Linked DNA regions of Xenopus tropicalis. The protein of the gene in region 3 interacts with the protein of the main gene of each other region in a pairwise test. Links are inferred from orthologs where the notes say so. Each region holds a gene or a part of one and is shown on either strand. Other genes may lie near its edges.

The links.
Region 1: the proteins of wdyhv1 (region 3) and coil interact in binary tests that used the Homo sapiens proteins (3 or more experiments, as listed by UniProt). The link is inferred for Xenopus tropicalis from reciprocal best matches to the Homo sapiens genes NTAQ1 and COIL.
Region 2: the proteins of wdyhv1 (region 3) and cda interact in binary tests that used the Homo sapiens proteins (3 or more experiments, as listed by UniProt). The two-hybrid records come from large-scale screens. The link is inferred for Xenopus tropicalis from reciprocal best matches to the Homo sapiens genes NTAQ1 and CDA.
Region 4: the proteins of wdyhv1 (region 3) and prps2 interact in binary tests that used the Homo sapiens proteins (3 or more experiments, as listed by UniProt). The two-hybrid records come from large-scale screens. The link is inferred for Xenopus tropicalis from reciprocal best matches to the Homo sapiens genes NTAQ1 and PRPS2.
Region 5: the proteins of wdyhv1 (region 3) and rbpms interact in binary tests that used the Homo sapiens proteins (3 or more experiments, as listed by UniProt). The two-hybrid records come from large-scale screens. The link is inferred for Xenopus tropicalis from reciprocal best matches to the Homo sapiens genes NTAQ1 and RBPMS.
Region 6: the proteins of wdyhv1 (region 3) and tollip interact in binary tests that used the Homo sapiens proteins (3 or more experiments, as listed by UniProt). The two-hybrid records come from large-scale screens. The link is inferred for Xenopus tropicalis from reciprocal best matches to the Homo sapiens genes NTAQ1 and TOLLIP.
Region 7: the proteins of wdyhv1 (region 3) and actg1 interact in binary tests that used the Homo sapiens proteins (3 or more experiments, as listed by UniProt). The two-hybrid records come from large-scale screens. The link is inferred for Xenopus tropicalis from reciprocal best matches to the Homo sapiens genes NTAQ1 and ACTG1.

The regions. Positions count from the first base shown.
Region 1 is NC_030686.2:52,253,180-52,256,599, reverse strand, and holds part of coil (coilin), read right to left. Parts: coding exon 2,967-3,420; intron 1-2,966. UniProt on the Homo sapiens protein: Component of nuclear coiled bodies, also known as Cajal bodies or CBs, which are involved in the modification and assembly of nucleoplasmic snRNPs.
Region 2 is NC_030683.2:129,542,495-129,546,602, reverse strand, and holds the start of cda (cytidine deaminase), read left to right. Parts: upstream 1-1,308; 5' UTR 1,309-1,481; coding exon 1,482-1,653; intron 1,654-4,108. UniProt on the Homo sapiens protein: This enzyme scavenges exogenous and endogenous cytidine and 2'-deoxycytidine for UMP synthesis.
Region 3 is NC_030682.2:139,824,729-139,828,830, forward strand, and holds the start of wdyhv1 (protein N-terminal glutamine amidohydrolase), read left to right. Parts: upstream 1-1,302; 5' UTR 1,303-1,480; coding exon 1,481-1,551; intron 1,552-4,102. Other genes in the region: atad2 (ATPase family AAA domain-containing protein 2), read right to left, coding at 646-831. UniProt on the Homo sapiens protein: Mediates the side-chain deamidation of N-terminal glutamine residues to glutamate, an important step in N-end rule pathway of protein degradation.
Region 4 is NC_030678.2:106,105,344-106,108,054, reverse strand, and holds part of prps2 (ribose-phosphate pyrophosphokinase 2), read left to right. Parts: intron 1-1,315; coding exon 1,316-1,489; intron 1,490-1,899; coding exon 1,900-2,059; intron 2,060-2,711. UniProt on the Homo sapiens protein: Catalyzes the synthesis of phosphoribosylpyrophosphate (PRPP) that is essential for nucleotide synthesis.
Region 5 is NC_030677.2:83,961,183-83,965,443, reverse strand, and holds the start of rbpms (RNA-binding protein with multiple splicing), read left to right. Parts: upstream 1-1,461; 5' UTR 1,462-1,752; coding exon 1,753-1,815; intron 1,816-4,261.
Region 6 is NC_030680.2:21,544,252-21,547,751, forward strand, and holds part of tollip (toll-interacting protein), read right to left. Parts: intron 780-3,500; coding exon 630-779; intron 176-629; coding exon 1-175. UniProt on the Homo sapiens protein: Component of the signaling pathway of IL-1 and Toll-like receptors. Inhibits cell activation by microbial products. Recruits IRAK1 to the IL-1 receptor complex. Inhibits IRAK1 phosphorylation and kinase activity.
Region 7 is NC_030686.2:28,628,393-28,632,526, reverse strand, and holds the start of actg1 (actin, cytoplasmic 2), read left to right. Parts: upstream 1-1,334; 5' UTR 1,335-1,419; intron 1,420-2,793; 5' UTR 2,794-2,800; coding exon 2,801-2,923; intron 2,924-3,012; coding exon 3,013-3,252; intron 3,253-3,537; coding exon 3,538-3,976; intron 3,977-4,134. UniProt on the Homo sapiens protein: Actins are highly conserved proteins that are involved in various types of cell motility and are ubiquitously expressed in all eukaryotic cells.

The DNA.
Region 1 (3,420 bases), on a different chromosome or scaffold from region 3:
TAGGCCCAAACTGTACTAATGGCACCGACGTGTTTATGGGTCGGTCCCCCCTAGGCCCAAACTGTACTAATGGCACCGACGTGTTTATGGGTCAGTCCCCCCCTAGGCCCAAACTCTACTAATGGCAGTGACGTGTTTATGGGTCGGTCCCCCCTAGGCCCAAACTGTACTAATGGCAGTGACGTGTTTATGGGTCGGTCCCCCCAGGCCCAAACTGTACTAATGGCACCGACGTGTTTATGGGTCAGTCCCCCCTAGGCCCAAACTGTACTAATGGCACCGACATGTTTATGGGTCAGTCCCCCTAGGCCCAAACTGTACTAATGGCAGTGACGTGTTTATGGGTCAGTCCCCCCTAGGCCCAAACTGTACTAATGGCACCGACGTGTTTATGGGTCAGTCCCCCCTAGGCCCAAACTGTACTAATGGCACCGACGTGTTTATGGGTCAGTCCCCCCTAGGCCCAAACTGTACTAATGGCAGTGACGTGTTTATGGGTCAGTCCCCCCTAGGCCCAAACTGTACTAATGGCACCGACGTGTTTATGGGTCAGTCCCCCCTAGGCCCAAACTGTACTAATGGCACCGACGTGTTTATGGGTCAGTCCCCCCTAGGCCCAAACTGTACTAATGGCACCGACGTGTTTATGGGTCAGTCCCCCCTAGGCCCAAACTGTACTAATGGCACCGACGTGTTTATGGGTCAGTCCCCCCTAGGCCCAAACTGTACTAATGGCACCGACGTGTTTATGGGTCAGTCCCCCTAGGCCCAAACTGTACTAATGGCACCGACGTGTTTATGGGTCAGTCCCCCCTAGGCCCAAACTGTACTAATGGCAGTGACGTGTTTATGGGTCAGTCCCCCTAGGCCCAAACTGTACTAATGGCACCGACGTGTTTATGGGTCAGTCCCCCCTAGGCCCAAACTGTACTAATGGCAACCGACGTGTTTATGGGTCAGTCCCCCCTAGGCCCAAACTGTACTAATGGCAGTGACGTGTTTATGGGTCAGTCCCCCCTAGGCCCAAACTGTACTAATGGCACCGACGTGTTTATGGGTCAGTCCCCCCTAGGCCCAAACTGTACTAATGGCACCGGACGTGTTTATGGGTCAGTCCCCCCTAGGCCCAAACTGTACTAATGGCACCGACGTGTTTATGGGTCAGTCCCCCCTAGGCCCAAACTGTACTAATGGCAGTGACGTGTTTATGGGTCAGTCCCCCTAGGCCCAAACTGTACTAATGGCACCGACGTGTTTATGGGTCGGTCCCCCCTAGGCCCAAACTGTACTAATGGCAGTGACGTGTTTATGGGTCAGTCCCCCTAGGCCCAAACTGTACTAATGGCACCGACGTGTTTATGGGTCAGTCCCCCCTAGGCCCAAACTGTACTAATGGCACCGACGTGTTTATGGGTCAGTCCCCCTAGGCCCAAACTGTACTAATGGCACCGACGTGTTTATGGGTCAGTCCCCCTAGGCCCAAACTGTACTAATGGCACCGACGTGTTTATGGGTCGGTCCCCCTAGGCCCAAACTGTACTAATGGCACCGACGTGTTTATGGGTCAGTCCCCCCTAGGCCCAAACTGTACTAATGGCAGTGACATGTTTTATGGGTCAGTCCCCCCTAGGCCCAAACTGTACTAATGGCAGTGACATGTTTATGGGTCAGTCCCCCCTAGGCCCAAACTGTACTAATGGCACCGACGTGTTTATGGGTCAGTCCCCCCTAGGCCCAAACTGTACTAATGGCACCGACGTGTTTATGGGCCAGTCCCCCCTAGGCCCAAACTGTACTAATGGCACCGACGTGTTTATGGGTCAGTCCCCCCTAGGCCCAAACTGTACTAATGGCACCGACGTGTTTATGGGTCGGTCCCCCCTAGGCCAAACTGTACTAATGGCACCGACGTGTTTATGGGTCAGTCCCCCCTAGGCCCAAACTGTACTAATGGCAGTGACGTGTTTATGGGTCAGTCCCCCCTAGGCCCAAACTGTACTAATGGCACCGACGTGTTTATGGGTCAGTCCCCCCTAGGCCCAAACTGTACTAATGGCACCAACGTGTTTATGGGTCAGTCCCCCCTAGGCCCAAACTGTACTAATGGCAGTGACATGTTTATGGGTCAGTCCCCCCTAGGCCCAAACTGTACTAATGGCACCGACGTGTTTATGGGTCAGTCCCCCTAGGCCCAAACTGTACTAATGGCAACCGACGTGTTTATGGGTCGGTCCCCCCTAGGCCCAAACTGTACTAATGGCAGTGACATGTTTATGGGTCAGTCCCCCCTAGGCCCAACTGTACTAATGGTACCGACGTGTTTATGGGTCAGTCCCCCCTAGGCCCAAACTGTACTAATGGCAGTGATGTGTTTATGGGTCAGTCCCCCCTAGGCCCAAACTGTACTAATGGCAGTGACGTGTTTATGGGTCAGTCCCCCTAGGCCCAAACTGTACTAATGGCAGTGACGTGTTTATGGGTCAGTCCCCCCTAGGCCCAAACTGTACTAATGGCAGTGATGTGTTTATGGGTCAGTCCCCCCTAGGCTCAAACTGTACTAATGGCACCGACGTGTTTATGGGTCAGTCCCCCCTAGGCCCAAACTGTACTAATGGCACCGACGTGTTTATGGGTCAGTCCCCCCTAGGCCCAAACTGTACTAATGGCACCGACGTGTTTATGGGTCGGTCCCCCCTAGGCCCAAACTGTACTAATGGCACCGACGTGTTTATGGGTCAGTCCCCCCTAGGCCCAAACTGTACTAATGGCAGTGATGTGTTTATGGGTCAGTCCCCCCTAGGCCCAAACTGTACTAATGGCACCGACGTGTTTATGGGTCAGTCCCCCCTAGGCCCAAACTGTACTAATGGCAGTGATGTGTTTATGGGTCAGTCCCCCCTAGGCCCAAACTGTACTAATGGCACCGACGTGTTTATGGGTCGGTCCCCCCTAGGCCCAAACTGTACCTGTATGACCATGGAGACATTAGTTGCAGGTTCCTGGAGCTGTTGCTGCTTCTCGGTATCTGCGCTGTATTTATAGAAGAATTGACTGGAATCTCCCCGGCCTCTCCCCCGATTGCTATTATTGTCACCTCTACCCCTGAACCAGTGCCCCCTTTGCCCGTTCCATGAAAAGTCTCCCCTCCCTCTGCCCATGCCCCGACCACAAACAGGCAGCGATACACTGGGCTTTGTAAGTACACGTTCAGGGGGGGGCGAGTGCTGCTGAATAGGAGAGGGCGGAGCCTGCAGTGGGGCAGGACAAACAGACGTGTCGATGCCCGGGACCCCCAAGGCAGTGTCTGTATCAGAACTAGAGATGGGGGGTTCTGGCTTCTTGCCCTTCCCAGGAGAGATTCCATTCACAGCCCTGGGGGGCACAGACACGGATCCCCTGGCACTGGCTTGGCGCTGCCCT
Region 2 (4,108 bases), on a different chromosome or scaffold from region 3:
GTCGTCGGCGGGCCGGATTAAAAAGGCCAAGGGGCCGGATGTGGCCCGCGGGCCGTAGTTTGCCCACCCCTGGTGTAAGGGGTGGGGTTAGGGGGGTCAGTATATGGGAATTGGGGGTGTTTAAGGGGTGGGGTTAGGGGGTCAGTATATGGGAATTGGGGGGGTTTAAGGGGTGTGGTTAGGGGGTCAGTATATGGGAATTGGGGGGGTGTAAGGGGTGGGGTTAGGGGGTCAGTATATGGGAATTGGGGGGGTTTAAGGGGTGGGGTTATGGGGTCAGTATATGGGAATTGGGGGGGTGTAAGGGGCAGGGTTAGGGGGTCAGTATATGGGAATTGGGGGGGTGTAAGGGGTGGGGTTAGGGGGTCAGTATATGAGAATTGGGGGGGTTTAAGGGGTGTGGTTAGGGGGTCAGTATATGGGAATTGGGGGGGTGTAAGGGGTGGGGTTAGGGGGTCAGTATATGGGAATTGGGGGGTTTAAGGGGGGACTTTCCCCTGTCCCCATATACTGACCCCCTAACCCCAGTATATGGGGTCAGTATATGGGGACTGGGGAAAGTCCTGTCTCTCACAGTCTGTCTCTAATTTTCTCTCTCTTTTACTTTCCTTCTTAATCTATTTCTGTCTCTTTCTTTGTCTTTCTCTCTCTCTCTCTATTATTCTTTCTTTCTTTCTTTCTCTTTTCTCCCTCTCTATTGCTTCCCCCCTCATCTTCTTGCTTTTTCTTTTTCCCTCTCTCTCTATTTCTTCCGCCCCTCTCTCTCTCTCTCTCTCTCTCTCCCTATATATATATTTCTTTCTTTTTTCCCCCCTCTCTCTTTCTTTCTTTCATCTTTTTCTTTCTCTTTTTCCCCCTCTCTCTATTTATTCTCCCTTCTCTCTCTATTTATATATTTCTCCCCCCCCATCTCTTCCCATTGCTCTCCAGGAATGCCCATATTCCAGCCTGGGCACGGTGACATTCTGGCGGTGGCTCTGGATACACACGGAGTGACGTGACAGGACAGCACGTAGCCGGAGAGATGACTGTACTGAGTCAGAGCAGCAGTGACGGGCAGCCATGCAGGAAGCCGGAGTCATTTTGTTCCACCAATGAGGTCACACAGCACTGCAACCTGTCACTCACCCTCCCTGCCTCCCTCCCCATGAACAAACCCCTGCCCCTGGGTGAAACAGACAAGATACAGAGGAGGAATGCAGGAGGGCTGAGGCCTGGCCAATCAGAGAGGAGCCACCCTGAGGAATTCAGCACCATACAAATAGTGAGGCACGGAGGCTGCAGGATACACACACCCACAACTACAGGACACAGCTGCCAACAGACACCTACAGCCAAGGAGCCAGGGGGTTAATGCACCCAATCACTAAAGTTTATTCACTGGCCCTCACTGGCAGCTACTGACCCCCACAGACCCACTGCTGAGACTTTAGGGGACACACTGATACCCACAGAGGCTTCCCCACTCCTGAGTGCCAGGGATGGATGGGAATAGCAACTGCCATGATAACGGATGTATAACCAGTCTAGAGACTGAACTCATCCAGAGACTCGTTGCCCAAAGCCACGAAGCCAAGCAGCGAGCCCACTGCCCCTACAGCAAGTTCCGAGTGGGGGCCGCACTCCTGACCGCGGATGGGAAAGTCATTCTGGGCAAGTACCGCTCTCTCTCTGCCAACTCTCTCCTACTTCTGGCTTTGTACTGGCTGAGTGTCTTTTTTTAACTTCCGCTGCTATGTTACTTGCTATTAATCCTCATTTAATGTGCCAAAGGGAATTACTGGTGCAAAACTTTAGACTTTATTGAATGTGTGTCTTTTTTCAACCTCAGCTACTGTGTTAAATATCTCTTCATCCCTCTCTGGCCCTGGAAATGCTCATTCAGTATTTTGAAACTAACCCCAAACTCTCACTGCCCCATTAGCTTAGTATCTTATCCTCCAGCTCCGCAGTTTTGCCCTCCTACAGATATGTATTCCATGGATTAAAGGGTAAGTTCATCAAATCAGACTTACCTGACTGTTAATAGCATCAGTAGCTTTTTCTCCTGCAGTACCACTTGTGACCAGTAGCCAGGTAACTTTTTTATGAAGAGTCTTCCTTCTTTTAATTAGTTTGGCTTCTCTACACTTTAAAATAGCCAAATGCCCCTTGCCCCCCCCCCCCACAAATAATGCTGAAGGACGGAAGCACATATATATATATAGCATTCCCACCCTTCCAGCTGTGCCCATCGTGCCTGCGCTGTGTAGGGCACTGTGTTTGGCAGCAGCTGTGGGGCAATGTCAGGAGCAGCTGCTCGGGTGTTGGAGGCAAGAACTCACATGATTGTGTGAAGGGAAAGGGACAGACACAGTGACAGTTACACATAACTATAAACCCAGTGAGAATGAGGAATGAATGGATATTGGGGAGTTGTATCAGGAGTCAGAACCAGCAGTGCAGGGAAGGGAAAGGGACAGACACAGTGACAGTTACACATAACTATAAACCCAGTGAGAATGAGGAATGAATGGATATTGGGGAGTTGTATCAGGAGTCAGAACCAGCAGTGCAGGGAAGGGAAAGGGACAGACACAGTGACAGTTACACATAACTATAAACCCAGTGAGAATGAGGGATGAATGGATATTGGGGAGTTGTATCAGGAGTCAGAACCAGCAGTGCAGGGAAGGGAAAGGGACAGACACAGTGACAGTTACACATAACTATAAACCCAGTGAGAATGAGGGATGAATGGATATTGGGGAGTTGTATCAGGAGTCAGAACCAGCAGTGCAGGGAAGGGAAAGGGACAGACACAGTGACAGTTACACATAACTATAAACCCAGTGAGAATGAGGGATGAATGGATATTGGGGAGTTGTATCAGGAGTCAGAACCAGCAGTGCAGGGAAGGGAAAGGGACAGACACAGTGACAGTTACACATAACTATAAACCCAGTGAGAATGAGGAATGAATGGGTATTGGGGAGTTGTATCAGGAGTCAGAACCAGCAGTGCAGGGAAGGGAAAGGGACAGACACAGTGACAGTTACACATAACTATAAACCCAGTGAGAATGAGGGATGAATGGGTATTGGGGAGTTGTATCAGGAGTCAGAACCAGCAGTGCAGGGAAGGGAAAGGGACAGACACAGTGACAGTTACACATAACTATAAACCCAGTGAGAATGAGGAATGAATGGATATTGGGGAGATGTATCAGGAGTCAGAACCAGCAGTGCAGGGAAGGGAAAGGGACAGGCACAGTGACAGTTACACATAACTATAAACCCAGTGAGAATGAGGAATGAATGGATATTGGGGAGATGTATCAGGAGTCAGAACCAGCAGTGCAGGGAAGGGAAAGGGACAGACACAGTGACAGTTACACATAACTATAAACCCAGTGAGAATGAGGGATGAATGGATATTGGGGAGATGTATCAGGAGTCAGAACCAGCAGTGCAGGGAAGGGAAAGGGACAGACACAGTGACAGTTACACATAACTATAAACCCAGTGAGAATGAGGAATGAATGGATATTGGGGAGATGTATCAGGAGTCAGAACCAGCAGTGCAGGGAAGGGAAAGGGACAGACACAGTGACAGTTACACATAACTATAAACCCAGTGAGAATGAGGAATGAATTGATATTGGGGAGATGTATCAGGAGTCAGAACCAGCAGTGCAGGGAAGGGAAAGGGACAGACACAGTGACAGTTACACATAACTATAAACCCAGTGAGAATGAGGAATGAATGGGTATTGGGGAGTTGTATCAGGAGTCAGAACCAGCAGTGCAGGGAAGGGAAAGGGACAGACACAGTGACAGTTACACATAACTATAAACCCAGTGAGAATGAGGAATGAATGGGTATTGGGGAGTTGTATCAGGAGTCAGAACCAGCAGTGCAGGGAAGGGAAAGGGACAGACACAGTGACAGTTACACATAACTATAAACCCAGTGAGAATGAGGAATGAATGGATATTGGGGAGTTGTATCAGGAGTCAGAACCAGCAGTGCAGGGAAGGGAAAGGGACAGACACAGTGACAGTTACACATAACTATAAACCCAGTGAGAATGAGGAATGAATGGATATTGGGGAGATGTATCAGGAGT
Region 3 (4,102 bases):
ATCTTTAGAGACCCAGGAAGCCAGCTGTGCAGGAAGGCTTAGGTCCTATGTATGGAGGCCATTCCTCTGTCAGGGGAATTCTGGGAGTTGTAGTTTAAAGGGGAAGTTCACCTTTATATTAACTTTTAGTAGGTTACAGAAAGGCACATTTTAAGCAACTTTTCAGTTAGTCTTCATTGTTTATATTTTTTGATTTGCTGCCTTCTAACTTTTTGAGCTTTCAAATAAGGGTCACTGACCCAAAGAACTATTGCTCTGTGAAGCTACAGTGTTATTGTTACTTTCTAAATACTTATTACTTAATTTTTCAATTATGGGCCCTCCCCTATTCATGTATCAGTCTTTCATTCAAACCACTCCCTGGTTGCTAAGGCAATTTGGATCCAAGCAACCAAATAGGTGCTGGAACTCCAAGCTAACAAAAAAATGAAATTATAAAACTACAAATAATAAAATAATGAGAATATTTCTCTCTACGTCATACTAAAGGGTCACTTAGAGGTGGGCAACCCCTATCTATTTATCTACGTTCGTTAACTTGCCCGTATGTTACTGGGGGGCCAAGGACAATGCTCCAGAATACGGGGTACACCTCAGCCCCCTCGGAACACGCTGAATATAGCCAATAATATACCCATGACTTACTTGGCCAGACCGGGCCGCCCCATTGGTGCCGGTGTTCCTCTGAGACCTCCGTTTGCCCAACTCCGGGGACTCGTTCTGGGGCTCCAGACTCAGAAACTCGGAGCTGGCATCGAGCAGAGAGTCTTGCTCCCGGTAAGAAGGCCCAGCGCCGTTAGCCGTCCCCGTAGAGCTCCGAAGCAGCACCATGACCGCTCCCGCCGCTGATTACAACCCTCACAAACGGATCAGTCGGACGGGACAGCGATTCCAAATTCTGGCGCCACAAAACTTCCACAGCCTGACGCTCTCCCAGATCATATCCCTCCGCCGACTGTCTAAACTATGGTTTTCCTATTTCCAACACCAAGCGCCTTCCGTCAGCGCAGCTAATACTCTCTGCCCGTGTAAACCGTACGTACACGTGTATCGGCCGCGGTGCGAGCAAGTCGCTCGAGGAACTACTACATTCGGTTACACGTATACCGCGGAGGGACACGTTTGTTTTGGCGCGTCCGCAGTTTGTTTTTAGCGCGGGAACTAAAGGGCGAGTTTTGATTGGCTGAAACGTGAACACGTGTTTTACCCTTCGGCCGATGTTTTCGGCGAACGCAGGGACTTTACAGCGGCGACAACTGCAATATTTATAGTGACGTTGAATAATAAGGATTCGTTGTGTGTGGAAAAAGTGTTTGACTTGTGATTAGACAGTCGGGACCGGTGACGGCTTAAAGCCAGCTTAGGAGGGAGAATATAGTGGGTAGCAGTTTCCGGGGGAATGTTTAGGCTGTAGCACCCGGTGGCTTCCTTGTTATTGTGACAGCTGAATGGAAGGCGGCTGTGGTGCAGGGGGAGAGCTATGGAGCAGGCAGCCCAGGTCCCGTCCCTATTGCCGGGGCGCAGTGACTGTCACTATACCGGCTGCTACTGGTAAGCTTGGGGGGAAGGGCACAACTGGCCCTATAGGTTTATGGGTCCCCTCAAAACCAGCAGCTATGAGATTTTCTGCCTGCAGCCCTCCTACTCCTGTCTAAAGGCAATTCCATAATCCCCCCTATTATTATTATTAACATTTATTTATAAAGCGCCAACATATCCCGCAGCGCTGTACAATACCTCTGTAACACTTGTTTGGCTATAATATGGCCAACCCAGGCTAGTAGCGTGCTGTAGAGCTAAGTGGGAGGTATTAATGGAGCTGAGGGTGTTGTTGAACTACAACTAGCTGAGGTAGTGTGGTGCAATAGATAGAAATGGACGCCAGAGGATTCTTATGAATGAACTGGATAATACTTTATTTGTCCAAGACAACGGTATTCAGGGTATTCAATACTCAATAGATGCAGAACAGTATGCAGTTATACAGTTGATGTAAAATTGATAAATAGCAGAAATATGATGCTCCCCTGTGTATCCCTTCTCATCAAGAGGTTTGGGCAGGTAGAACAACAACAGCGTGATAGGTAGGAAAGCTCACCGGCATAGTCCCATGCTCTGGTGGAGGTTAGGGCAAGGCATATTTGCTAACCTATTCCCCTAGCACTTCTGTGTCCCTAATCTAAGGCCAGTAATGCCTGTTAGGAAGACTACTCCTTTGCTATTATCCTGGATGGAGCAAATGGCTGCTCGTTCTATATAGTTCTGTCTGAACTCACCACTCCTAGAGGGTGCTATGAAATATGCTGCTATACTGTCTTCTCCTCATTCACGGGGCCCTGTCCCCGACTTCAGATGATATAAGTGGCTTTTACTGGGGCCGTCTGCACCCAGGCTCAATGGACTGATGCCTGAGACAGGGGCAGCCAAAGAGGAAGACACTCCCTTGTGCAAGACACTATATAGTCTGCCAAGGGGAGTGGTCAACCGGACTAAACCTGTAGGGGATAGCTTAAAGGAACAGTAACACCAAAAAATGAAAGTGTATAAAAGTAACTAAAATATAATGTGCTGCTGCAACCGTAGCTATAGGCCGACTGCAGGGCTCGGAGTTGCCACAAACTGAGAGAGAAACACCTGTGTCTGTCGCCATATGGAAACCTAAATAAAATAAGATAAAATGAGATCTTGGAAATATTAACACTTAGGGCCAGATTCATTAAAGTATGACTCACGAAATCCAATAATTTCTGATCATTGCGAAAGTCACAAAATCTCCTTTCGTTTGAATACGAAAATTTCGTACTTACAATCCGAAATTTTTGTTTTGAAACGATCGTTTGTGATAGTCATGAAATTTTCGTATTCAAACGATCGTAAACGGTGGGAAAACCTTTCTGACTTTGATCCTTCAGTGCATGATTTTGGAAGCATCGCATAGGGCTCAATGGCACTCTGCAGCTCCAACCCGGCCCAAGGAAAGTCTCCCATAGGGCTCAATGGCACTCTGCAGCTCCAACCTGGCCCAAGGAAAGTCTCCCATAGGGCTCAATGGCACTCTGCAGCTCCAACCCGGCCCAAGGAAAGTCTCCCATAGGGCTCAATGGCACTCTGCAGCTCCAACCCGGCCCAAGGAAAGTCTCCCATAGGGCTCAATGGCACTCTGCAGCTCCAACTTGGCTCAAGGAAAGCCTCCCATAGGGCTCAATGGCACTCTGCAGCTCCAACCGGCCCAAGGAAAGTCTCCCATAGGGCTCAATGGCACTCTGCAGCTCCAACCCGGCCCAAGGAAAGTCTCCCATAGGGCTCAATGGCACTCTGCAGCTCCAACCCGGCCCAAGGAAAGTCTCCCATAGGGCTCAATGGCACTCTGCAGCTCCAACCCTGCCCAAGGAAAGCCTCCCATAGGGCTCAATGGCACTCTGCAGCTCCAACCCGGCCCAAGGAAAGTCTCCCATAGGGCTCAATGGCACTCTGCAGCTCCAACCTGGCCCAAGGAAAGTCTCCCATAGGGCTCAATGGCACTCTGCAGCTCCAACCCGGCCCAAGGAAAGTCTCCCATAGGGCTCAATGGCACTCTGCAGCTCCAACCCGGCCCAAGGAAAGTCTCCCATAGGGCTCAATGGCACTCTGCAGCTCCAACCCGGCCCAAGGAAAGTCTCCCATAGGGCTCAATGGCACTCTGCAGCTCCAACCCGGCCCAAGGAAAGTCTCCCATAGGGCTCAATGGCACTCTGCAGCTCCAACCCGGCCCAAGGAAAGTCTCCCATAAGGCTCAATGGCACTCTGCAGCTCCAACCCGGCCCAAGGAAAGTCTCCCATAGGGCTCAATGGCACTCTGCAGCTCCAACCCGGCCCAAGGAAAGTCTCCCATAGGGCTCAATGGCACTCTGCAGCTCCAACCCGGCCCAAGGAAAGCCTCCCATAGGGCTCAATGGCACTCTGCAGCTCCAACCCGGCCCAAGGAAAGCCTCCCATAGGGCTCAATGGCACTCTGCAGCTCCAACCCGGCCCAAGGAAAGCCTCCCATAGGGCTCAATGGCACTCTGCAGCTCCAACCCGGCCCAAGGAAAGTCTCCCATAGGGCTCAATGGCACTCTGCAGC
Region 4 (2,711 bases), on a different chromosome or scaffold from region 3:
GTTGTGCATGTAAATTTCTTATGTATTTTGAAGTAGTAGCGGCATTTCTATGTTTAACCTCTTCTTATCCATTGTGTAACCATAGCCCTGTTAAGTTTATTGGCAGTTTATATAATTCATACTTAACAGCTTCCAAAATACATGTATTTCCAAACTGCAGACTAATGTTGACTATATACACTAATATCTGCCAAGACACGTAGATCTCTGGCCATCAAGGAGGTAGGGAAAGGTGGCCATACATGTTAAGATCTGCTTGTTTAGAAAGGTCACCAATCTGCCTGTGTATTCCCACTTTTAGATTGTACTGATCCATCCGATTTTCAAACAGACCAACAATTGGACTACATAGAGATATGCAGACCCTTTGGGAGAGGACCATACTTAAGGCCTGATGTACTCCTCGCCCTTTAACCTGGCACATTTGCAGACTGAAAACTGTTTGAGACAGCCTGTTAATAAGCCCTCTCTGTATATCAGCAAATCTTTGCCCCATATCTAGTAACCCATTGCAAGTCAGCAAGTGCCATTTACTGTTGTTTAAAAGAAGATATAAGACTAGTTGCTGTGGGTAACTAGACCTTGTACAGTTCATAAGCTTTTCTAGATTACTACCAGTGATTTAAAGGGACAGTATACACCTAAAACACCTTTGTTAAAGAATGTTTTGCTAATAAATAGAACTTGTGTTCTTTCAGTTTTATTATTTTAATTATAAACAGGGTAATTTGCTCAGAGTTTCTTAGCTGCATTTAAACAAGCACCTCCCTTCCCTAAAATACAGCCTTTATGCATCATTGGAGGGACTTTTTTTTTATTATTGTTTTTTTGTGGTTTTTACACTTAATGAATTAAAAAAAATTTTAGTTTTTGATCAATTATTAAAACACAATTTTTAGTGCTAGTTAGTAAAGCTGGCCCATTTTGTGTTACCACCAAACCTTTATGAGGGTATAGGTATGATTAATTTTTGCTATGCTTTCAAGACTTAGGTGTCTACCCTATATATTAAATACTGAAACATTTGCATGCTGTCTAAGTGCCATCTAGTGGTAGGCCTTAACGGAGCACCAATTAATAATGTGGGAGGTATAAATGTGATTCTAGACTGATATTTCATTAATTCTTTAGTGTATTATTTGGCGTTCAGCATAAATTAAAAATATGATTTAAGAAATCCTGAAGCAAAACAAAACTCACATACCCCTTTATCAAAGCATACCATTTGCATTTGTTTGCTTTAGATATCAGAAAACTGTATTTTTTTCTTTTGTTCCAAACAGTTCTTATTTTTTTCCCCCAAACTCAATCATAGGGTGACGTCTATTGCTGACCGGCTAAATGTGGAATTTGCCCTCATCCACAAAGAAAGAAAGAAAGCTAATGAGGTGGACAGAATGGTGCTTGTTGGAGATGTAAAGGATCGTGTTGCTATCCTAGTAGATGATATGGCTGATACATGTGGCACCATATGTCATGCTGCTGATAAGTAAGTCCTGTTAAGAAACACCTTTTCAGTGTTAAATAAAAATAAAATTGTATTTAAAGAAGAACTAAAGCTTAAAAAAGAAGTAAGCTAGAAATACAACACATTTTTATGTTTGTTAGCCCGAGGAGGCTAAGTGAAGATCTGTGCCAGTGAAGATGTCCCCAGTAGCCCCCTGATTTTTTATTTTCTTTGATTCATAGCACATGCTCTGTGCTTCTGTCAGTAACCTGAGCTTAGGGAACTACTTACAATATACAGTATATATACAGAAATACAAGATTTAATGCATAAAAGCATATACAAACATGAATTTTTATTTTTTATGTAATTTTAATGTCAGTATGTTGATAGAGAATATCCTTCCAGAAGTCATTGTTCATGTTATGTCTGTTTTATTTCATCTTCTGCAGATTACTTTCTGCTGGAGCAACAAAGGTCTATGCAATTTTAACACATGGAATTTTCTCTGGTCCCGCAATCTCTCGAATTAATAACGCAGCATTTGAGGCTGTAGTGGTAACCAATACAATTCCACAAGAAGATAAAATGAAACAGTGCTCCAAGATTCAGGTATTATGCCCATATAGTTGTTGCACCAATATTCATATATGTGCCCTAAAGTTGAAAGATTTTGGCCTGAAAAATGCGAAAGCTGATATTTTTTTCGGTCCAATCTCCACTCTGTATAGGTGCATTCACACCGATGCTGTGCTTGTCAATGGAGCTACAGGAAGTTGCTGATTACATTAGATCAGCTTCTCTTTACCTGCAGGCGTAGAGAAGCATTTGACATGTGTGCCTTTGCTGTGGGCTTGCTGTGAAAGGAGAAGGAAGAAAGTAGTTTTACTTTCATTTCTTTCATTATTATTTTCCTTTCTATGTTTTAAAGCCCTCTCTTCTGCCTCTTTCCTTGAGAATGGTTGATTGAAAAATGTAAAGTCCATGCTTCTAATTGCTCTTCTAAAAGCTAATCTCAAACAGGGGTAGTTTTTATCCTGGTGTATTTAAAGGTATCTACATTATGTGAATTAATGTGCACTTATTCAGTGTTTAGACTGCTAATTGCAGGCATTCAAGTCAACAGCTGTCCTTGACCCTACTTGTCTGTACTTTCTATGTACGCCATGTATTCAGTTAGCTGGCTCTCCATTGAGCCCAAAGGCCTGGTATAAGCAGTCTAAAAATGCAAATCAAATATCTCTGTAGCTGCTAAAAATGGAGC
Region 5 (4,261 bases), on a different chromosome or scaffold from region 3:
GCCAGCAGGAAACCTTTGTTACCCACAGACACCAAATCTGAAAATAGAATATTTTACATGCTGCGATTTGAATATAAGCGAGTCTGAGGGAAATATGTGCTCCTCACCTGGGCCTTAAAGTGAAGGCAAATCTCCAGAAAATACCCCTTTGCTCACATTCAGATTGCTGCATGTAAAATACATTACATCCAATGATCTGGCTTAATTGCAGAAAATTTCAAAAGATATTTTCCCGCGCTCAGAATGTTAATGAAGGTACAAGTATTTCTAGGAGATCTGCTTCCTGAGGTAGCCTAGATTTGCCGCAGGTGATAAATCTCCTTGTCTCCCAGTATCCTAAGGCCCATAGGGAGATTAGTCACCTATTGTTAGATTGCCACCAGCAATAAAGTAAATTGCCGATGGGAAGACATATGCATTGCTTTGTTTTGTGAAGTTGTGCTGTTTCCTCCTGCAGGGAATTCACATTTCTGGGATTAGTTCCCAAAATTTTAGGGAGATTAGTTGGCCGCGGTAGCCAAGATTTAACCGTGGCCAACTAATCCTCCTGTGGGCTATTGCCCTTATGGTGATGGCACATGTGGAAATTAGTCTCCAAAAAATGCTTTCCCACCAGCAATAATGTAAATCACCACTGGGAAAACATACGCTTTGCTTTGTTCTTCTAAAGTTGAACGTAATTTTCTCACAAAGAATATCCAGAAGATTAGACACCTGTGGTAGAGCAGATATATCAAGGGTGACTAATTCCTATGTGTGCAGTCACCCCTAAGGCTGAGGCACATGTGGAGTTTAGTCACCTACGATTTACATTACTGCTGGTGGGAAAGCATTTTTAAGAGATTAGTAAACTGTGATAAAGCAGATTTAGCTCAAATCTCCAGGTCTCATTGCCATGGCTCTAAGCTCCCTCTTTTGTGGAATCCTAACAACAACAAGAATAAATGCATAAGAGCGCATTATCTTTGCTGGTTCCTACATTGTGTACTTCGCACCTTGGTGTAAACCTCTGCCTAAATTAACCTTACAGGAAAGTGTTAAGATCTATCGCTACAAATTGAAATAATATAAGGAGGGTAAGGCGGCACCCAGAACATTCAGGTATACTTGCACTGTAATAGATCCTACTCACCACTAGCACCAAACACAGTGCTTATCACTCTTTCCGCCCCCTCCACTCTCTCTTTCTCTCACCCTGCTGCCGCTGCCTATTTTCTATCTCTCGGCATTTCACCCTTTGACCTTGTCTGGAAATCGTCAATTTCTGAAGACGCTTTCAAGCACGGCTGATTTTTTAACTAAGAAATTGGACCCGATACTGATTTTTTCTCTCACCAGCCCTCCCTGCTCTCTAAACAGAGCAGCTCCCCACCCACAAACTGGGAGTTTTGTAGTCCCGGCTCTGAAGTTGCTTTAAGCCCTTCCCCTTCAGAAAGCAAAGGCTGCTCCTAACCCTAATCACCAACAGTCACTCGCAATCCCCCTTTCCTCTCTCACCCCCTCGCTTGCTTTCCTTATCACTCGTACAAACCACAGACTTCCTCATCTTACTTTTAAGACAAAACTCTGAAAGAACAAGAGCTTTATTATAATATTTGGATCTAAATGATATGCTTTTCATTAAACTAACCAGTAACCTGACTGCTTGAAACTAAGTTCCAGTCTTTCTCCAGCACTTCCCAGTATAAGGAAAGCGAAAAGTCTGCACTGTAGAAACTGACATTCACAGAAGCCTCTGCCCAGGAGACCACAATGAACAGCAACATAGCTGAAAAGGAGGGCTCTCAGGATGAGATCAGCCTTCCAGAAGAAGAGGTAGGTGGCTCTAATACAACCGAAATATTTTACTCATTATCCCTAGTCTGCACATGGTGTTATCCACTTGTGATGCCTGCTGATCATTCCAACTCCTATAGTTTGTTGTATAAAAATGCTTTTTTAAATGTTTCTTAAAAAGCTGTAATATTGATCAACAGAAATGTAGTTCAGTATACATGTTTGTGTGTTTACAAATGCTAAGTAAAAGCAGCTTAAATTTTGTATATTATTACATACACACACATGTATACCTTGTTATCAGTCACTGTTTGTGTGTATATATGTAGTGCGGTACCATTTTGTGGGCTTGTTGTTTTAGTAAGTGAGCAACCCTGGCTGTAGTCCCACAGTAAGATTTGTTTCTGGGGATTTGACAGATTCTATGTGTGGCAATTTAGGTCCGACCTCAGGAGTCAGTCAGTCGCATCCTCATTCATCCTTTAGGAGTGATGAGCATATGATTACCCTGTGACTTGTCAGATTTCATTTGTATGGAAAGAGTTCACATTCATCAAAATTGTATGTAATTGCATGCCTTAACTTTCATGCTGACATTCTGATGTGATCAAGCTCATGCAGTGGAGGACCACTTTCTATAGTGTGAATGTGAGATTGGTATTTTTTTAATGGGAGAAAACGACAAACTTAATTATTCTGGTTTGTAGATCAGAACAATTGCTTAGTTCTAAACAGTCAATCACATCAGCTTTTGATTGGAAGCATGATCTGCACAACTGTTGTTTTGTGAGTGCAGCATACAGTAAATCTGTTGTTTAAACAAATGTGTTCATAAATTGTTCAATAAATCCTAGGTGTCTTGAGTTTCTGGGATTTTCCTTAAAACACGGGAAGTTGTAATATATGAGTTGCAGTTCTCATTGCTGTGTATTTTTTAGGTGGTACAAAATGGTCCTTGTTTTGTCAAAATAGTAATATTAAAATTAAAAAGCCATAACCCTCTCTCACAGTTGGGTCCTTGCATTACTGTGTAGAGGAAGGAAATAGTGTTGTTAAACAATACCTCTCATGCTGCAAACAAATAAGGATAATGGATACCAGTTCTCAAGTGTGAACTAGCTCCTGCATTTCAACTATGAGATGCCCTTTAGGGCTTGTAATTACTAGCGTTTGTTTCTGCGTTTCACCGCAGGGGTGCACAGAAACAAACACATTTCATACTTCCCCATGTGCCTATGTGGTCCCTCTTCTTTACTAGGGCCTTATTGTCCAAGACAGCCCAGCAGACATTCCAGCAGGTGGAGGCCAAAAGGCAAGAGCCATGTGATCCCGCTTACTATATTAAACATTACAGGAAACAATTATAACATCCGTGAACCAATAGGGAAAAACTATTCTACCCAGGTATCTAGGTTACAGGTGCCAGGAATATGCAAAAAGAAGGGAAATCAGGCTAGTAGGGGATTCACAAACCCACAGGGCATTTAACTTACAATTCAGTAGAAGATTCAAACATCTTGAGTGTGGGAATTTTGCTTTTTAGTACCAGTACTTTTTGACCATGCACCATTCAGTGTGCGGTTCTCCTCTGTGTTTCTCAAGTCCAGGCCCAGGACAGTTGCCTATAGTTTACATACACATCACACATTTTCTTGCAAATTCGTCAATATTGGTATTTTTATATTCACTTCTTGTGTCAAATTTTCAGGTTTAACAAAATTGCATGCTAGTATGAAGATCAGCTGTTTTAAAAAAGGATTCTAGGAGCAGCTGCATTTTCCTCTGAACAGTAAGTGGAACATGCAAAGGACACTGGCTCCCTTAACAGCATTGTTTTGTCCTTGGAATAGTTGAATTCAGGTATACTGTTAGTGGCATGGTAGAACAAGGCAAATGATTAATAAATGTTTCAGTTGTTTGTAAAATAATGTGGAGAGTTTTTGATGCAAACAAAATATATATATATATATATATATATATATAAAATCACAAAATTTGGTAACAGGCACTCACAATACAGAGTCAAGGATGCCTGGGTGCAGTCCAATACGAAATAGTAAAACACAAAATAGCCGGTACCGCACTCACAGGTCTTATATAAAGATATTTATTCAAAAAATCGTGTCTAACGTTTCGGCTGCCATTGCAGCCTTTCTCAAAAAAGAAAGGCTGCAATGGCAGCCGAAACATTAGACACGATTTTTTGAATAAATATCTTTCTATAAGACCTGTGAGTGCGGTACCGGCTATTTTGTGTTTTATATATATATATATATATATATATATATATATATATATATATATACAGGATCTCTAATTTGTAAACCTGATATCCAGAAAGTTCCAAATTACAGGAAGGCCGTCTCTCCTACTGCCCATTTTAAGCAAATAATTCCAATACTTTAAAATTATTTTTTCTGTAATAATAAAATATTACCTTTTACTTGATGGTAACTAAGCTGCATAGATCCATAATGGTTGCAAA
Region 6 (3,500 bases), on a different chromosome or scaffold from region 3:
ATATTTCTAGGTAGAAGGAATCAACTCCAGGAGGAATTGTGCACTGAATCACTTTGTTCCACCGTGGGTTCTTAGCCCCATTATGAGCAGTAGGCGTCTCATACACTGCATATCCCAAACGTATCCGGCAGTATGGGTCCATCCGGGTCATTCCATAATTCTTAGCAAGCTTAGCCTGGGAGCAAAAGTAAAGGCAAGTCAGTGAGTCGGAACCTTTTCTAGAATAATACAAAGGGCATCCACTGATATGGGGAGAGGGAAGACTCCTGTTTTTTCCCTAAACATGAACCCTCAGGAGAAGAAATGACAATATGCTGGCATCAGAATACAATTATAAACAAGCATTTGAGGTCTGGAGCTAATGTCTTCGCTGGAGCGAGTACAATCTCTCTCTCTGGATCCTCTGACCTCTTACTGAGCTTTCTGTGGGTATACAGAAAATATTCCACTAGTGCTTGAGATTCACTTTAATTTCCCACTTGAACATCTCTGCGGTATATAATAGTGCTTCAGAAATGACAGAAGCCTATTGTGACTGATATAAAAACAAAAGAGAGGCTTGGCACATGTATGCTGTAGTGGCTGATATGAGGCATGTGTATCACCCTGGGGTCCCAGGTATTGCTTACCTGCACCACAGTAATGCTGAGTCGGCCCATGGTCCCCATAACTCCAGAATACTGTAGCTGCTGTGCTGCCTGGGCATCCAACTGTATCTGCTGCTGCTGCTGGGTAGGGGTAATGCGCAGGAAATCTTGGGGCAGTTCCCCAATAAACACCTAAAACCCAAAGAGAAAGGATAATAGTGAGCCATAAATGGCATGATGCATTTTTAACATATTATGTATTACTTCTAACAGGAAAGGACACTGAAAGCATCCAACCACCATCTCCAGTAACTGATCACTAGAGACATTGATTGCAAAGGCCTGGAAATGACTATTCACAAAAGCATCAATTTCACACACCCAGTTCTACTACAAAGAACCTGGGCCCAACGACAGTCTTTCATAGCTAAAGACAGATATACATGGGATGATGTTTCTGCCAAATGATTGGGCCGATACATATATGTTCACAAATAGGCTTAATTTACACAGGTGAAAGGACAACACTTTGCTCCTATTATCACTGCTTGCTGCTGAACCCCTTTACTCTTTCTACCAGACCCAGACTTGCAATCTGTGGGTTCTGGCAAATGCCAGAGGGGATGCTTTAAGATGCCATAGGCCAGTGATCCCCAACCAGTGGCTCGCGAGCAACATGTTGCTCACCAACCCCTTGGATGTTGCTCCCAGTGGCCTCAAAGCAGCTGCTTAATTTTGCATTTCTGGCTTAGAGGCAAGTTTTGGTTGCATAAAGACCATGTGTACTGACAAACAGAAGTATGCTGCTAGTCAACATAGGGGCTACCAAACAACCAATCACAACCCTTATTGGGTACCCCAGGGTACATTTTTCATGCTTGTGTTGCTTTCCAACTCTTTTTACATTTCAGTGTGACCTTCCATGGGTAAAAAAGGTTGGGGACCCCTGCCACAGACAGTCACTATTTATTGGGCAGGCCGAGGGCCTTTTAGGCCTCTGTGTGCTTGCCAGGGCATAGTTTAAACCCCAATCTAGACCTTTTGCCTAGAGCACACTTAGGGACCATAAAGCGCACATTAAGGTCAGGCAGTCTGTGTGTTGCCTGTAGCTGTGAAAGATCATACAGCCAGCCGTCTGTGCCTCAAGTCCACCATCACTGCCAAAAAATAGTAAAATAATCAGAAACCCAGAGTAGACATTCCACAGAGTTAGTGAGTCAAAACAGGGATTATCGAATGGCTGTCCCAGTGTCATCCCCAGGAAATTGGGGCACTGTGGACGATGTTTTTAAACTATTATATGTGTCCCTTTAAACTCTGGGAGCTCATGATTGAGCTGTTGCAACATGGCATGGGTGACAGCTAAAACACCTACGGGTGCGGCCCTGAAAGAGGAGAATAGTAATAAACGTTTGTTTATGCTAAAGAGCCTATATGCTCAATGTATCATACACATAATAAGTGTGCCGTAGCATATGCCTGCCCTTGGATCAGTGTAATGCAATATACTCACAGAAGGATGAATGGGGCTGAATGGGGCTGGTCCAGCTGTTCTACTTCATTCTGCCCTTCCTCTACTACTCACTTGCATTGCCTCTTCTACAATATACACTAAATGGTCAAGACTGCAATCTAATAATTGTATCTGTGCTTGGAAAGAACCAGGAACTTTCAGCAGTGGGGAAGGTATTGAAATGAATGATGGAAAAGGTTTAATGATTAAATAGGGGAGGGTTTAGCTTTATGGCTGAGAGATCAGTCATATTTATGACAGCTTATCGAGTCCAAGGGGTCACAGATTCTATCTTGAGCCCATTAATTAACACATAAGCATTTAGGGCAGTGCTGCATTTCCAAGCAAATACCATTCAAATAAATAAGGAGCGAGTGCCTTGTCATATAACAATGAACACAAAACCCCCAAAATTGCTCCACAATTGAAATTTTCTACATGGTTGCTAGGGCTTGATTACCATAGCAATCAGGCAGCAGTTTAAAAGTTAGAATGGAAGATCAGTAGGAAAATATCTTAAAAGAAAGATAAGCAAGTGAAGGCCAAGTGAAAAAATAGCTTGAAACAGTTCCATCTTTAACATAATTTAAAGTTAATATAAAGGTGTCTTTCTACCCAGTAGTGACTCAATTTGCAGTTTTAGCCTTGATGGAAAAGCAGCAAAACACTCTCCGACCTATCAGCCGCTCAGCTGAACAGCACCATACATCGGCCAACACTGTACATCGGCAGATTAAATTTTCAAACCTGTCTGTTTCCGACCATTATCTTTGTACCTTGGATTTAAGTTGTGATAGTCCATCCAACATACACATACCAAAAAGCATACAAATATTTTATAGGTATAGATATGGCCAGCCTATTGACTGTAATCATTTCCTGTTGTGCCTAAGTACAATGGCAAAAGAAGCGATTTGGAACCTGTGGGAAATAGCCAGTCCTGCAAAAGAGAAATTGCCAGAAAATACCTTACCATCCGGATTCATTAATATTTGCCATGTGTAAAACACTTTACATAAGAAGGCATTTTCACATGATTTGCAAGGGTCTGGAGAAATGGGGCAGCTACCCTCCTACCCAGCGCCTCTACAACCCCACCATTTGGTCATGTTCTCTAACCATACCCAACCAACAAGGGCACTGCCAAGCACCAATATCATTTTACTATATAGAAACCCTGCTCCCAAGCTAAAATATATGCGGTAATCCTCAACTGTAAAGTGTTTTTATAACAAAACAAGTGCTATCCTCCAGCTGGTAGGAGAAGCTCCTTACTTGTACCAGGCACTAAAATCAAAGGTGAACTGGTCTCAACGATTGAATTGTTCCAGTCTGAATCACTAAAGGTGCGGCTGCAACAGCTGCCCTGGATTAGCCTTGGGGGTTAGTGGGAGATATCA
Region 7 (4,134 bases), on a different chromosome or scaffold from region 3:
GTGTGATGTTGCCCCTCCTGAACCCCAAAATCGACTCCCTTCCCCAGTAGAAGCAGACAGTCAAGAGAACTATCAGCTCAAATTGGGCAGATCAGTATAGGTAAGTGTACATTCTGCACTTATAGTTTATGTTTCTGAACAGATTTATACAGAGACCATCCCAGTAACGTACCATGAACTTTGTTTCACCATAACAACATTTTCTGCATGAAGCCAAACACATGACTGTCACTATACAGGATATTCTGCAAGTAAGCTTCCCTCTAACAACTGCTGCAATTCCTAAGCCATTCCCTCTCTATATGTGTAATGTCTATTCCAATTTGTTCCGAACATCTTTAATGAATCTGTCTTTATAATCTGGCAATGTACCCACCAAGCAGCCCTTGCCTTCAGGGATTGTTCTTTAGAAAGTTCTGTTTAAGGTAATGTGACATGCAAGACTGAGCTCACTTCCCAGCAGTCCCACCCTGAATGTATTCCTTCCATCTTAGCCCTAAAGGGAGAATGCTCAAGCACCTGAGGCTTCAGAGAATACAAAATAAAGCATTTCCCAGCAAGGTACCTAAAGGGGGTATGTAGTAGAACCACGCCCTTTAATATCCTGTCTATAGGCAATCCATGCATTTGTGTTATATCTATATAGGGTTTAGCCCATGTATCACTTAGCACTTTATTTACAAAACTCCCTGGGCTTGGAATTCGACCAGATCCCACTCTAATTTTAGATAAAGAAATAAAAATAAAGTTTCAAGGATGTAATGTGTTCCTATTGGGTATACTGTAGGAAAATGCACACCCTCTGTATAAGGACAATGAAACACCTAAGGAAAAAAACATGACCTTAAAAGGTATTTCCATCCTTCCCTTTGGCCATAGTGGCACCACGCTCGCCTGCTATTGTTAACTACGCTTCCCAGCAACCTCCGCTACCCCAGTAATCCGTATCTCACTGTCCCACCGCATAAGAACTTGAGAGTTAGAAATCCCCGGACTACGATGTTTCCCTGTATTTTACAATACATTTTAGAGAAATGTTTCAAGTAATAGTAACATATATGTGCAAGGGTAGCGGCTTTCCTGCTCTAACACGGCCAGGCCTTACACGCCTCCCTATTGCTCATAAGCGCATGTAACTTCAGGGGTTCCGGGTGGACGTAGGGCCAGGACTCCGGTCCCGCCTCTTCTCCCAACCAAGCAACCAATGGCGAGGCGTGTTTCTGAAAGATGCCCATATTTGGCGATCTTCTGTCTGTGCGGCAGCAGGCGGGGCTGGAAGCCTGTGACGTTAAATAGAGATAACGGCCGCTACTGGGTTCTCATTCAGCCGGTGGCAGCGGACTTGACAGCTACTTCCCGCTCTTTGTAACAACTTGCCAGCTTTGCATTTCTCCTCTTAAGGAAACCTCCAGCACCAAGGTAAGACCTTAGACAATGTCTTACGGCTGTGTGTGGGTGGTGGGCGGAAGAAGTCTTATGGGGTACCGTTGGCCGGGATAGCGTGTGGTAGTGTTCTGTCTATATATTGTTACATGACCGTATTGTCTGTGGCTTGGATATTTGTAAGTCTCCAGTAATGCACGCTTAACTTGTTCTCCTAAAAAGCTGCTGTTGATCTTAATGTGTTACAATGCCCTGCGATATTCTATTTTAAAATAGGCATATTCTATATACATATCTGGCCCTTGTCATACTTCTGGTTACCCTGGGTGCCGAATGATGTTAATATGGCTATGTACAGAACTATATGGCTCTGGTGTCAGTCGCCGTTCGGAGGTGGCTTCCCTCCCTTATGGCTAGAAGTTTGCGCGGGTTTCCCTGCGATAGCATGACGGGCTGCACCATTCTAAAGGGTAGGGGTGAAGCTATTTCTCGCCTCCCCCCCCCAGTTACTTGTATGAGTCACCCCACCTCTGTTGGCCACGCCCACGAGTTTGAAGCTTGTAGCTTTTTGTTTCAGCGGCAGGGCGTGGCTGCTGCATTCTGCTTCCATATTAGGGCAAGAGCTCTGTGATTGGCTGAGCGAGCAGTCAGGGCAGATTTAAACATCACACCAGTTCTAGGGGTGGGGCTGCTGTTCATTAGCCGGTACCGGCTCCTGCGTTGTATAAAGTAAGGGCGGGGGTTAACACTAGGGCGAGTCAGAGAAATCTATTCTATTATGTTTATTTATAACTATATTAAATTAAAGATTCTGCAGTATGGGCAGCTGTTCTTAAATACAAATAACTTGGGTGATTGTGTGCTTTACATCCTGTCATTTTTGTAAATGTTCTATATTGCTTGGATAGCTACACTGTATTGTTAGCCTGACAGCTGAAGTCTTGTAGCCTTTTTGTGTTTTTTTTTTTTTTTTTTTTGTGGTGTGCCCTTTCCCTATTGAGGGGAATAACAGGGCGTGACTGGCTGTACCACTTGCCTCAAGTCTTTAGCCTATGAAAAGGGCTGCCTTAGCCTTTCATTAAACGATTATCTAATCATAGAAGTGTTGATTGTGTTACTATTAATGCTGTTAATCAGCTGTGGGATATTCCCTGTTACCTTGTACAGCTTTCAGTGTACAAACTTTCCACATAATTCATGATTAATCTTTTTACTTAAGAAACAAGTGTTTAACGCTTGTCGCTCATGGTAGGGTGGGGCTGAAGTGGATTAAACGGTTACTATGCCTTACTGTTGGTACACTTGCCTACAAATGGCTTAGCTGTGTACGGAGTGAGGTTGTGGCTACTGACTGAGATAAATAGCCAGTCCCTTATTTTGCTTATGATGATCTGTTTGTTTACCACACAGAAATAAAATGGATGAGGAAATTGCAGCACTCGTCGTTGACAATGGCTCTGGAATGTGCAAAGCCGGCTTTGCTGGAGATGATGCTCCCCGTGCTGTGTTCCCCTCTATTGTTGGACGCCCAAGACACCAGGTATATATAAGTGATGCTTTAATCCTTCATCCAGCAAATGCAGCTTAAATTTTTTTTCTTGGGCTGACTTACTGTTCTTTTTGTTTTAGGGTGTAATGGTTGGTATGGGCCAGAAGGACAGCTATGTAGGTGATGAAGCCCAAAGCAAGAGGGGTATCCTTACCCTTAAGTATCCAATTGAACACGGAATTGTTACAAACTGGGATGATATGGAGAAGATTTGGCATCACACCTTCTACAATGAGCTTCGTGTAGCCCCTGAAGAGCACCCAGTCCTGCTTACAGAAGCTCCCCTGAACCCCAAAGCCAACAGAGAAAAGATGACACAGGTTTGTTTTCAGTGGAAGGCCCAAATACACTTATTTTGGGGTAGTTCTTGTACACTTCATTCTTATTTCTCAAACTCCAATTTTCTTTCAATATTTTCAGGGCTCTGTACCTCTCCTGGCATTTCCCTCCTGAAGTCTCAGGTTTCTGTTTCATTGGTTTATTTCTGCTTGTTCTGTTTTTCTACACATCTATCTCTTTGTTTTGCATGATGGCATGCTGGCATGGTTTGGGGTTCTAACTCGTCTTGATTTTTAGAATTAACATTGTTCTCATGTATCCCTTAGATCATGTTTGAGACTTTCAACACCCCAGCTATGTATGTCGCCATTCAAGCTGTGCTGTCTCTGTATGCCTCTGGTCGTACCACTGGTATCGTGATGGACTCTGGAGATGGTGTCACCCACACAGTACCCATTTATGAAGGTTATGCCTTGCCCCATGCTATCCTGCGTCTGGACTTGGCTGGTCGTGACCTGACAGACTACCTCATGAAAATCCTGACCGAAAGAGGCTACAGCTTCACCACCACAGCTGAGAGAGAAATTGTGCGTGACATCAAGGAGAAACTCTGCTATGTTGCTCTTGACTTTGAACAAGAGATGGCAACTGCTGCATCCTCCTCATCCTTGGAAAAGAGCTACGAACTGCCTGATGGACAAGTAATTACAATTGGAAATGAGAGGTTTAGATGCCCAGAGGCACTCTTCCAGCCTTCCTTCCTGGGTGGGTATCTGTTAAGACGTTGCATTTCATCTGACTAATAACTCTTCCTCCTGAACATCTGGTCTAGGTAGTAGGTCCTGTTTCCACAGTACACTGTATAGTTGCTAAAGGTGACTAAAGTGACTAAAGTGAACCAAGTATAAGTAAGAATGGAACTT